Sus scrofa: one gene and its partner. The protein of the gene in region 2 interacts with the protein of the main gene of each other region in a biochemical or structural test. Links are inferred from orthologs where the notes say so. Each region holds a gene or a part of one and is shown on either strand. Other genes may lie near its edges.

Evidence for each region.
Region 1: the proteins of PIAS2 (region 2) and SUMO3 form a complex in vitro, tested with the Homo sapiens proteins (2 studies listed by BioGRID, with this or other methods). The link is inferred for Sus scrofa from reciprocal best matches to the Homo sapiens genes PIAS2 and SUMO3.

What each region holds. Positions count from the first base shown.
Region 1 is NC_010455.5:207,481,512-207,485,641, forward strand, and holds the start of SUMO3 (small ubiquitin-related modifier 3), read right to left. Parts: upstream 2,852-4,130; 5' UTR 2,629-2,851; coding exon 2,608-2,628; intron 1-2,607. UniProt on the Homo sapiens protein: Ubiquitin-like protein which can be covalently attached to target lysines either as a monomer or as a lysine-linked polymer. Does not seem to be involved in protein degradation and may function as an antagonist of ubiquitin in the degradation process.
Region 2 is NC_010443.5:96,542,963-96,547,168, forward strand, and holds the start of PIAS2 (E3 SUMO-protein ligase PIAS2), read right to left. Parts: upstream 2,819-4,206; 5' UTR 2,643-2,818; coding exon 2,619-2,642; intron 1-2,618. UniProt on the Homo sapiens protein: Functions as an E3-type small ubiquitin-like modifier (SUMO) ligase, stabilizing the interaction between UBE2I and the substrate, and as a SUMO-tethering factor.

The DNA.
Region 1 (4,130 bases), on a different chromosome or scaffold from region 2:
AATCGGAGTTGTAGCTGCCGGCCTCCACCACAGCCACAGCAACGCCAGATCCTTAAACCACTGAGCAAGGCCGGGCATCGAACCCACGTCCTCATGGATACGAGTCGGGTTCATACCACTGAGCCACAATGGGAACTCCCATTGTGTTTTTTGATGTACAAAATTTTTACAATTTTCACGAAGTCTAGTTTGTCTGTTTTTCTTCATGCTGCCTGTGCCACTGGTGTCACATCCAAGAAGCCACTGCCAGGTCCCATGTCATGGAGCTTTCCTCTGTTTTCTCCCGAGAGTTGTACTGTTTTAGGTCCTTGGTCCACCTTGAGTTAATTTTTGCATATAGTGACAAGAAAAATCCAACTTCAGTCTTTTTTTTTTTTACGGCCACATGTGCAACATATGGAGGTTCCCGGGCTAGGGGTCCAATCGGAGGTGTAGCTGCCGGCCTAACAGGACAGCCATGGCAAGGCAGGATCCAAGCTGCGTCTGTGGCCTACACCACAGCTCACAGCAATGCTACATCCTTAATCCACCGAGCGAGGCCAGGGATCGAACCCGAAACCTATGGGTACTAGCAGGGTTCCTTAGCACTGAACCACAAGGGGAATGCCTCCAACTTTATTCTCTTTGCATGTGGACATAGGATGCATTGCTTTTTTAATGAGAAGGTACTGGTGTGTTCAATGAGACGCAGGGGCCAGAGCACAAAGCAGACAGAGACAGGGCAGGGGCTGAAGGCCAGGCAGAGGAAGGCACCGAGACCACATGGCCTGTGCCCGGCCCTGGTGAATTCCCAATAAGCCAGTGAACTACTGCAAAGAAAGGGGGTGGACAAGACCCACAGTTCCGACCAGCAGGCCTCTGCCTGTGCTCTCCAGGGAGGCAGAACTGGCCTCCCAACGGATCCCAAGGTTTTCTTTTCACCAAGATGGGCTGGAGCGGGCCTCCTACCACCCCCAGGCCCAGAGGAGAGCTCGGCAGGCAGCGAGGCTGTGGTGGGCAGGGGTGGGGCACGAGGCCTTGTCTGGAAAGCAGTGAAAACAAGTTTATTCAACTGAATTGGGCTGTGGGCTGGACCACGTGGGAGAGCTAAGTTTAAACACACCGAAGGAATGAGATCTATGTGTATTTCATCGCATTTAAACTGCAGAAAGAGGCCCCCAGAAAGCATGAAGAAGGGGCGCTTGTGTTCAGCCTCCAATAAACAAAGGATCCAGGGCGCGAGCGCTAGCAAAGGCTGAGTGAGAAATGTAACTGGCCGCAAGGAAAAAGCAAAGGCAGGAGTTCCTGCTGTGGCGCAAAGGGACTGACGGGTCTCTGCAGGGGCAGGGAGGGACATGAGTTCGATACCAGGCACAGTGGGTAAAGGTTCAATGTTACCATAGCCGTAGCATAGGACACAGCTCTGCTGGGATTCAACCCATGGCACAGGAACTGCATGTGCCATGGGGCAGCCAAAATAAAAGAAAAAGAAGTAATAAAATAGAATAAAAAACAAAGCTCCAACTGCACCCGGAGAGAGGAAGCTCCTGAGGGCACCTCTTCTCACAGGCCCCACAGTGGGCTCCCGACCTGGGGCTCAACCAGGGGGTCTCTGACCAGGGGTTTGGTGACCAGGGGTTCCGTGCCCTGGACCCCAACCCCAGCTCTGCCTCCTGGGCTCCAGCCTCAGCTGCAGGGGGGGAACCTCCAGCGGGGCTGGCAGCAGAGAAAGCCTGCACGCCATCGTTCAACTCGCAGCAGATCTGCTACTTGGAAAACACTGACCCCAAGGGTCCAGAAGCCCGTCTTTAATAGGAGGGGGAGGGCTAAGGGCCAGCGCAGCAGACTCAAGGGCGCAGACCTGACAGCCTGGGGGAAGGGCGGCAGGGGGCACACAGTAAACGACGGGGGAGGTGGGCGCACGCCCAGGGGGGCGACCGTGCCTCCAGACAGGTCAGGCCTCTCAGAGCCCCTGTCCCCAGCCTGCGCCCCCTCGGGCTCTCCGCAGTGAGAGCTGAGGAGGAGGCCCTCCGAGGGGCAGTAGGGCCCAGGCAGGCCAGGACCTTCGGTCCTGGCATGAGGGGCGCAGCGGGGGGAGAGTCCGAAGAGGAAAGAGGTTCTGGGGAGGGGCGGTCCCAAAGGGGGACGAGGGGAGACCCAGGCGGGTCCCAGCCAGGAGGGTCAGGTCCAGGAGGGTCCAGGATGGTCCAGGATAGGGGTGCCACTCGCCGAGACAACGGGGCGGGGCTCTTCGGGGGCGGGGCGGGGCCGTGGGGGTGGAGCTCGTGTCTTGGGGGGGGAGGCCTGGGAGGGGCGGGGCTCGGGACGGGGCGGGCCCCGTGGGGAGGGGCCTGGGCGGAGGGAGGGGCCTGGGCGGAGGGAGGGGCCTGGGCGGAGGGAGGGGGCGCGCGGCGGGGCGCGCGGCCGGGCGGGGGAGGGGAGCCGAGCGGAGCCCGGCGGCGCGGGGGAGGGGGCCGGGGAAGCCGGGTGGCGCCGCGGACCCCGGGCCCCAGAGGCCGGCGGCGGGTCGGAGGGCGGTGCAGCACGGGGCGCAGGCGGGGGTGGGGACGGCGGCGACGGCGGCGTGGGCTGGAGGCAGAGCACGGGCCCGCGCCCTACGGCCCTTACCTTGGGCTTCTCCTCGGACATGGCTGCGCGCGGCGGGCGGCGGGGCAGCAGCAGCGCCGGGCGGGCGACTCACGCTCTCGGCCCGCCGCTCTCCCGCCGCAACTGCTCTCGGGGCCGCGCTTTGCCCCCAAATCCCTGCGCGCCGGTTGGCCGGCGCGGGTCACGTGGTGGGCGCGCGTGCACGAGGCGCGACCCCGGGGCGTCGGACGCGCGCCTGGCCTGCCGGCCGAGGTTCCTGGCGGTTGGAAATGCGTCACCGGGCGGGGCCCCGCGAAATCCGGCGTCGGGGTTGGGGGTTCCCAAGGCAGCGGGGGCTCGGGTCCGCCCGAGGGGTGGGGGGCGCGCTGGGACCCGGGAGGCGTGCAGGGCAGCTAGGGTGGGGACGGTGGGACCCAGGGGGCACACGGGGCAGCGATGGGGGCAAACTGGAACCCCGAGGTGCTCAGAGAACCGGGCCAGGAGGCCTTGCGCTTTATCATGGAGCCTGAGAACGGCCCCTGCTCTGGTCCCCATAACTGGTCCCCCTACTGCAGCAGCACCAGTCAAGCCTAAGTGCACCCACTGCTTTTCTTTTCTGGTTACGGTGTTTCTCAGAGGAAAAAAAGGAAAATAAAGCCAGCCAGGCGAGCCACTCCAGGGGACGTGAGTGAGAACAGTGTCTTGGGAGGCGCCCCCACTACTGGGGAAGGTGCAGCTTGCCTTCGCCCGGAGCCAAGTGTCGGACCTCGAAGTGGAGTGAAGGAAGGGGTGGAGGCTGACCCACCCGGCCACTCCGTCCACCAAGGAGTCAGGGCATGACTTCCTTTAGCAAACCCACTCAGGCTCCAAGGTCCGGCCACCTCCACTCTGCGATCCCAGGGGACGGAGGCATAAATGGCATTTCTGGGAGGGAGACGGGGAGGCAGAAGCCTCTCTCTGTGATGGGCTAGGCTGCTTGTTCTTCTCCCCCTGTCCAGCCCCCTTCTGAGCTTGGCCAGTGGAAGCCGAGCACCTGGGGCAGGTGGGGACCGCTTTGCTACCCTACCTGGAAGCTGTGCACCTGACCTTTACATCAGCCCATTTTACAGGTGAGGAAACTGAGTTACCTGACGTCCTAGCGTGGGTGAGCAATGCCGCTGGGATGTGAGCACAGGCAGTGGTCCGTGTGTCTGACCAGTGTGCTCTGCTGCCTCGGGACAAACCCAGGGCTCAACCCCAGCAGGACAGGCTGAAACGGGCACTCAGGCAACCTCGGGAAATGTGGTGAAGAATGGGCCCTGGTCAGGAAGCCCTCCAGGATTCTGAGGCCCTGGCTCTTCCTGCCCTCCCCGTCTCCACCCCATGCCTCAGAGGAAAGGGACCAGCAGTGGCCGACGTGGACTGACCCCTCGGGTGTGCCGGCTGTGGTCCCAAGCACGCATCAAGGCTCACAACACTCTGCAGCAGGGACCTTAGCCCCCTGTTCTTCCGGTCAGGGAATGAAGGTTGCACAGGGTCACGCACTAGGAGGTGGCAGGGTCTGGATTTGAACCCAGGTCACTAGA
Region 2 (4,206 bases):
AATACATTCTGAAGCAGAGACTATTTAGAAAACCCTTGATGTTTCCTCCCCTTTTCCTTTCTAACTAGATTTTTGGTCAGTTGTCCAGCTTTCCCTATAATATTACATGTCACATAAGAAGCATGTTGTTTACTTATCATTCAATTTAGTTCACAGATTCACAAGATGATAAATAGGAGCACACAGTGGACCTGAAGGAAACTGAACAGAGCAGTACACCATAGATGCTGAGGGGTGCTTTCTCTTAAAGCTAGACCTCTGAGATCAAAAATCCCTAGGTCTTCCAGGATCAAGCTGTGTGGTCTAGATCAGGTTATTCAACCCCTCTACGCCTCAATTTTTCATAGAACTGTTGTGCAAACTAAGTACGTATGTAAAGTGCTTAAACCAGAACTAGGCATGTAATAAGCACTTTATTATAATGGCTATCTGCCATCACCATCATCACTCTTTGCAGTGGGGCACAGCGAGAGAGATACAGCACATCTTTTAATATAGAAGATGCTTGGAGTTCCAGTGGTGGCGCAGCAGAAATGAATCCAACTAGAAATCATGAGGTTCAATCCCTGGCCTCGCTCAGTGGGTTAAGGATCCGGCGTTGCCCTGAGCTGCGGTGTAGGCGTTGCCGTGGCTGTGCTGTGGCTCCGATTCGATCCCTAGCCTGGGAACCTCCATATGCAGGGGTGTAGCCCTAAAAGATGGGAGGGGATGCTACTGAGCAGCTAAGGCAAAGACTGGGGTGGATAACCCTTCTGGCATTCGCACAGTCCATACTCTTATCCAATAAATACAAGGAGAAGTAGAGACAGCTGACTTACAGAAAAAGATGATGAAGCTGACTCACAAAACAAAATGGGAGGTGGGAAAGAGAAGGGAGAAGGGAGGGAGAGAGAAAGGGAGAATATATCTTGGTTTCCAAACACTTTCCAGTTCCTGGTTCCACTACAACTTAAGCACTGAGTGCCCTTTCTGGCCTAAACCAACAAATAAATTCTCCACTTTTTATTAAGCTTTGACCAACAACATTTATAAAGTCTAACACAGGTCTTGGAAAAGTTTTCATCAACAAAATAATCTTAGAGGAGGAAAAGTGGTATGCATCTGTTACTACACAGAAATTAAGACGACATTGCAGATAAAAATAAATTTAACTACAAACCAGTATTCTCAACCCACTGTAAACCTAATGCATGAACTTACACAGGTGAGGCTCAGGCCTGGTTGTTTCAAAAGGTCTACAGGTGTTAAAAGCTCTACAGCTGAGGCTAAGACACTAAAACCCTCACATTTATCAATATGAACTCTCTTTACCTACTATCAGGGTCCTCCGTATATAAACTAGTACAGGCATAAAATTCATTAATATGCTTTTCTCTTTACTGAGAATGAAATAATTTTTGAAACAGCAGGCGGGGAAAGGTAGGCATTATTCAAACCGAAACAATTTCCCTTTAGATCAGAACCATGAATACATTCTTTTGCTGATGTACACCATACCAGCCAGGTAACCAGCCAATATCCTTCCACCGCTTCTCATCGCTCTCCTAAAAACAGTCACAAACATAAACTGAATCTTTTACCTGATTCCCCTTTCCTTCTTATTCCGAAAAAGTAACCCTAAAACATGTCTGTATTGTGCAAATTAGTTGTGGTTAACTTAATTTCAAGTTCCTATTCATCTCTTGACACTTTTTTTAAATCAGGGTGTCCGTCCTTAAGTACCCCATTTATGTCGCCAGTAATTCAGCGATCCATAAAAATTCTGGCTCGTTTATGACAGTTTTGTCTCAGTTGAGGACTTTGAAGAAGATTATCAGCCCCAGGAAAAATATCTTTTCCGTTCTAACCCCAACAGCTCATTTCAAACCTCTACTATACAAAGGTATCAACAATAAAGTTATGACCTTGTTCTAGGACTAGGAAGGAAAATTGTTCAAGAGCAAAAAACAAGTTCACAAACAAACCTCATGACAGCACGGACTTCTGCCGATTTCTTACCATAGCACTAAGAAAACAGCAAGGTTTAAGGTCGATTATTGAAGGCAGGGTCCCCAAAAGACCATGCTTCTCTCTATGATGTTGAGGAAGCACTGGTGGGAGGAAGGGGCCTTTCTCGTGACAGATCTGACTGAACGGTAGCATCAGCCATCGATGAGAAAAAATTCCTAAAAGCAACTTCACGTTTCAGAAAACAGCCTCCCACCGAGTAGCCCGTAGACTTAGGAATCACCAGGGACACGTACACCCCTCACGAAGGTGGAAAAGCAAATCCTGCTCCCCACCTCATCCCCTAAAATAAACGGTAAGTCGGGTCCCCAGGAGCGCCTTCCCCAGGGCCCCTGCCCCCGCGTGCAAGGTGTGCGGACCCCTGGCGGGACCCCACTGGCCCGCTTACCCTGGGCCCCAGGCCCGCCGGCCCGGCGCTACGCGGGCGTCCTCCGCCGTCTCTCTCCCCTCCCCCGCCCGCTTGCGCTCTCGCTCCGACGCGGGCCCGGGCCCGGGGCTCCGCCAACCGGTCCCCTCGAAACAAGAAGGTGGCGGCCGGAGACGCTGCGGCTCCCCGGTTTCCCCTCCCCTCCCCCGCGGCCTCCGCACTCCACTCCCGCGCCCCCGCTTACCCTCAACTCCTCGAAATCCGCCATTTTATACCACCCGCGGGCGCCGCCGCCGCTGCCGCCACAGCACCCCCTCCCGCTGCCGCCAACGAAGCCGCCGCCACCACGGCCGCCGCCGCCGCCTCCAGCACCATCCTGCACTGGGCGCCGCTAAAGACGCCGCGGCTGCTGCCGCCGCCGCCGCCGCTGCCGCCGGGCGCGTCACGTGACCTGCGCCGGAGCTCCACCCCCTGCGCAAGCGGCCCCGCCCTCCCGGCGCCCCGCCCACCGGCCCACCGCCTTCCGCCCGGGTCTTCCGCCCGCCTTCCCAGTGAGCTGCGTTAGGCTTGCCTGGATCTTCCCCTTTCCCCCTCAGCGTGTCGGCCTTCCGCAGCCTTTCCGTGCCCCGCCTCAGCGCGTGGATGCTCCTCTTCCCCACGCGAAGGCCCAGCCCGACTACCTGAAGCGCCGTCGCGACTGCAGCATTACCGGCGGGCCTGTAGGAGGGAGTGATGGAGAGAAAGAAGAGGTGTCTTTTCCCACGGTGGCGTGGACTGGGGGAGTACCCACAAATAAAGCCATCCCCCAGAGTAGTTGTGGTGGAACAACCCATGGATGTTGACTAAGCTCTGGTTCTGAGCTAATGGTGCGGGATTGGTGAGACCTCTTTGGGTTGCTAATATCTTCAAAGTACTAACCTGGCTAGTTCTCTCTGACTTTGAAGGGCGACTGAATGTCAAAGACTGCAGAGTCGAGAGGGTTGGGGCAGAGAGGTTGGAGAAGTGAAATAGGAGAGCAACTTGAAAGGCCCTGATAGGAAGTCGAAGGGTCAGGGAAATCAGATAGCTGGGAAAGATGAAATGTCAAAGGCAGAGCGGATGGAAGGAAGTTTCTCACAGCACCCCTGACGTGCTGACAAAGGATGAGAGAAGATGCTGAGGCAAGCTGGTCAAAAAATTCGCTGGACCAAGGACAGAGTTGAAATGTGCTTTGAGAAGTGGCTCCCATTTAAGACACTTAATGTTGATCCCTGGGCCAAGAAGAGTTTCCCACTCTACCTCTTTGCCTAACTCCTAGTCATCCCTCAGGACTCAGTTTTAGTATCATTTCTTCAGGAAGACCTTCCCTAAACCCTCATGCCCCATTTTAATTCAGAGAATCAACAGTATCTAGAATAGGTTCTGATTCTGGTTCTCCACCATTAACGTTATGGTCTTAGGTTGATTTAATCTTGGTTTATTCTCTTTAGGTCTTAACTTCCACCTCAGTGGCATTTTATATTGTTCGACAGACATTAAATGAAGGCTAGGAGCTTTAGGGGAATATAAAGATGAATAGGATAAAATACAGCCCTTCCACCAACCCATAAGAGGTACCAACTCAAACATAAAACCATAAGAGGCAGAGCTGCACGGAAACTGTTTGAAGTGTTCGTTGTAGGATTGGGTAGGTTTGACTGCAAAGAGTTCTGGGTGCTGCCCTACACTGACCTAAGTCAATAATAACTATGCCCCCTTGCTACAGTAATTAGATCAGAACTGTACCTATAAATGCAACTACTGCAGGACATTTCCAGGTCAGTTAGATCAAGTACAGGGTGTGCCTCAAGGTA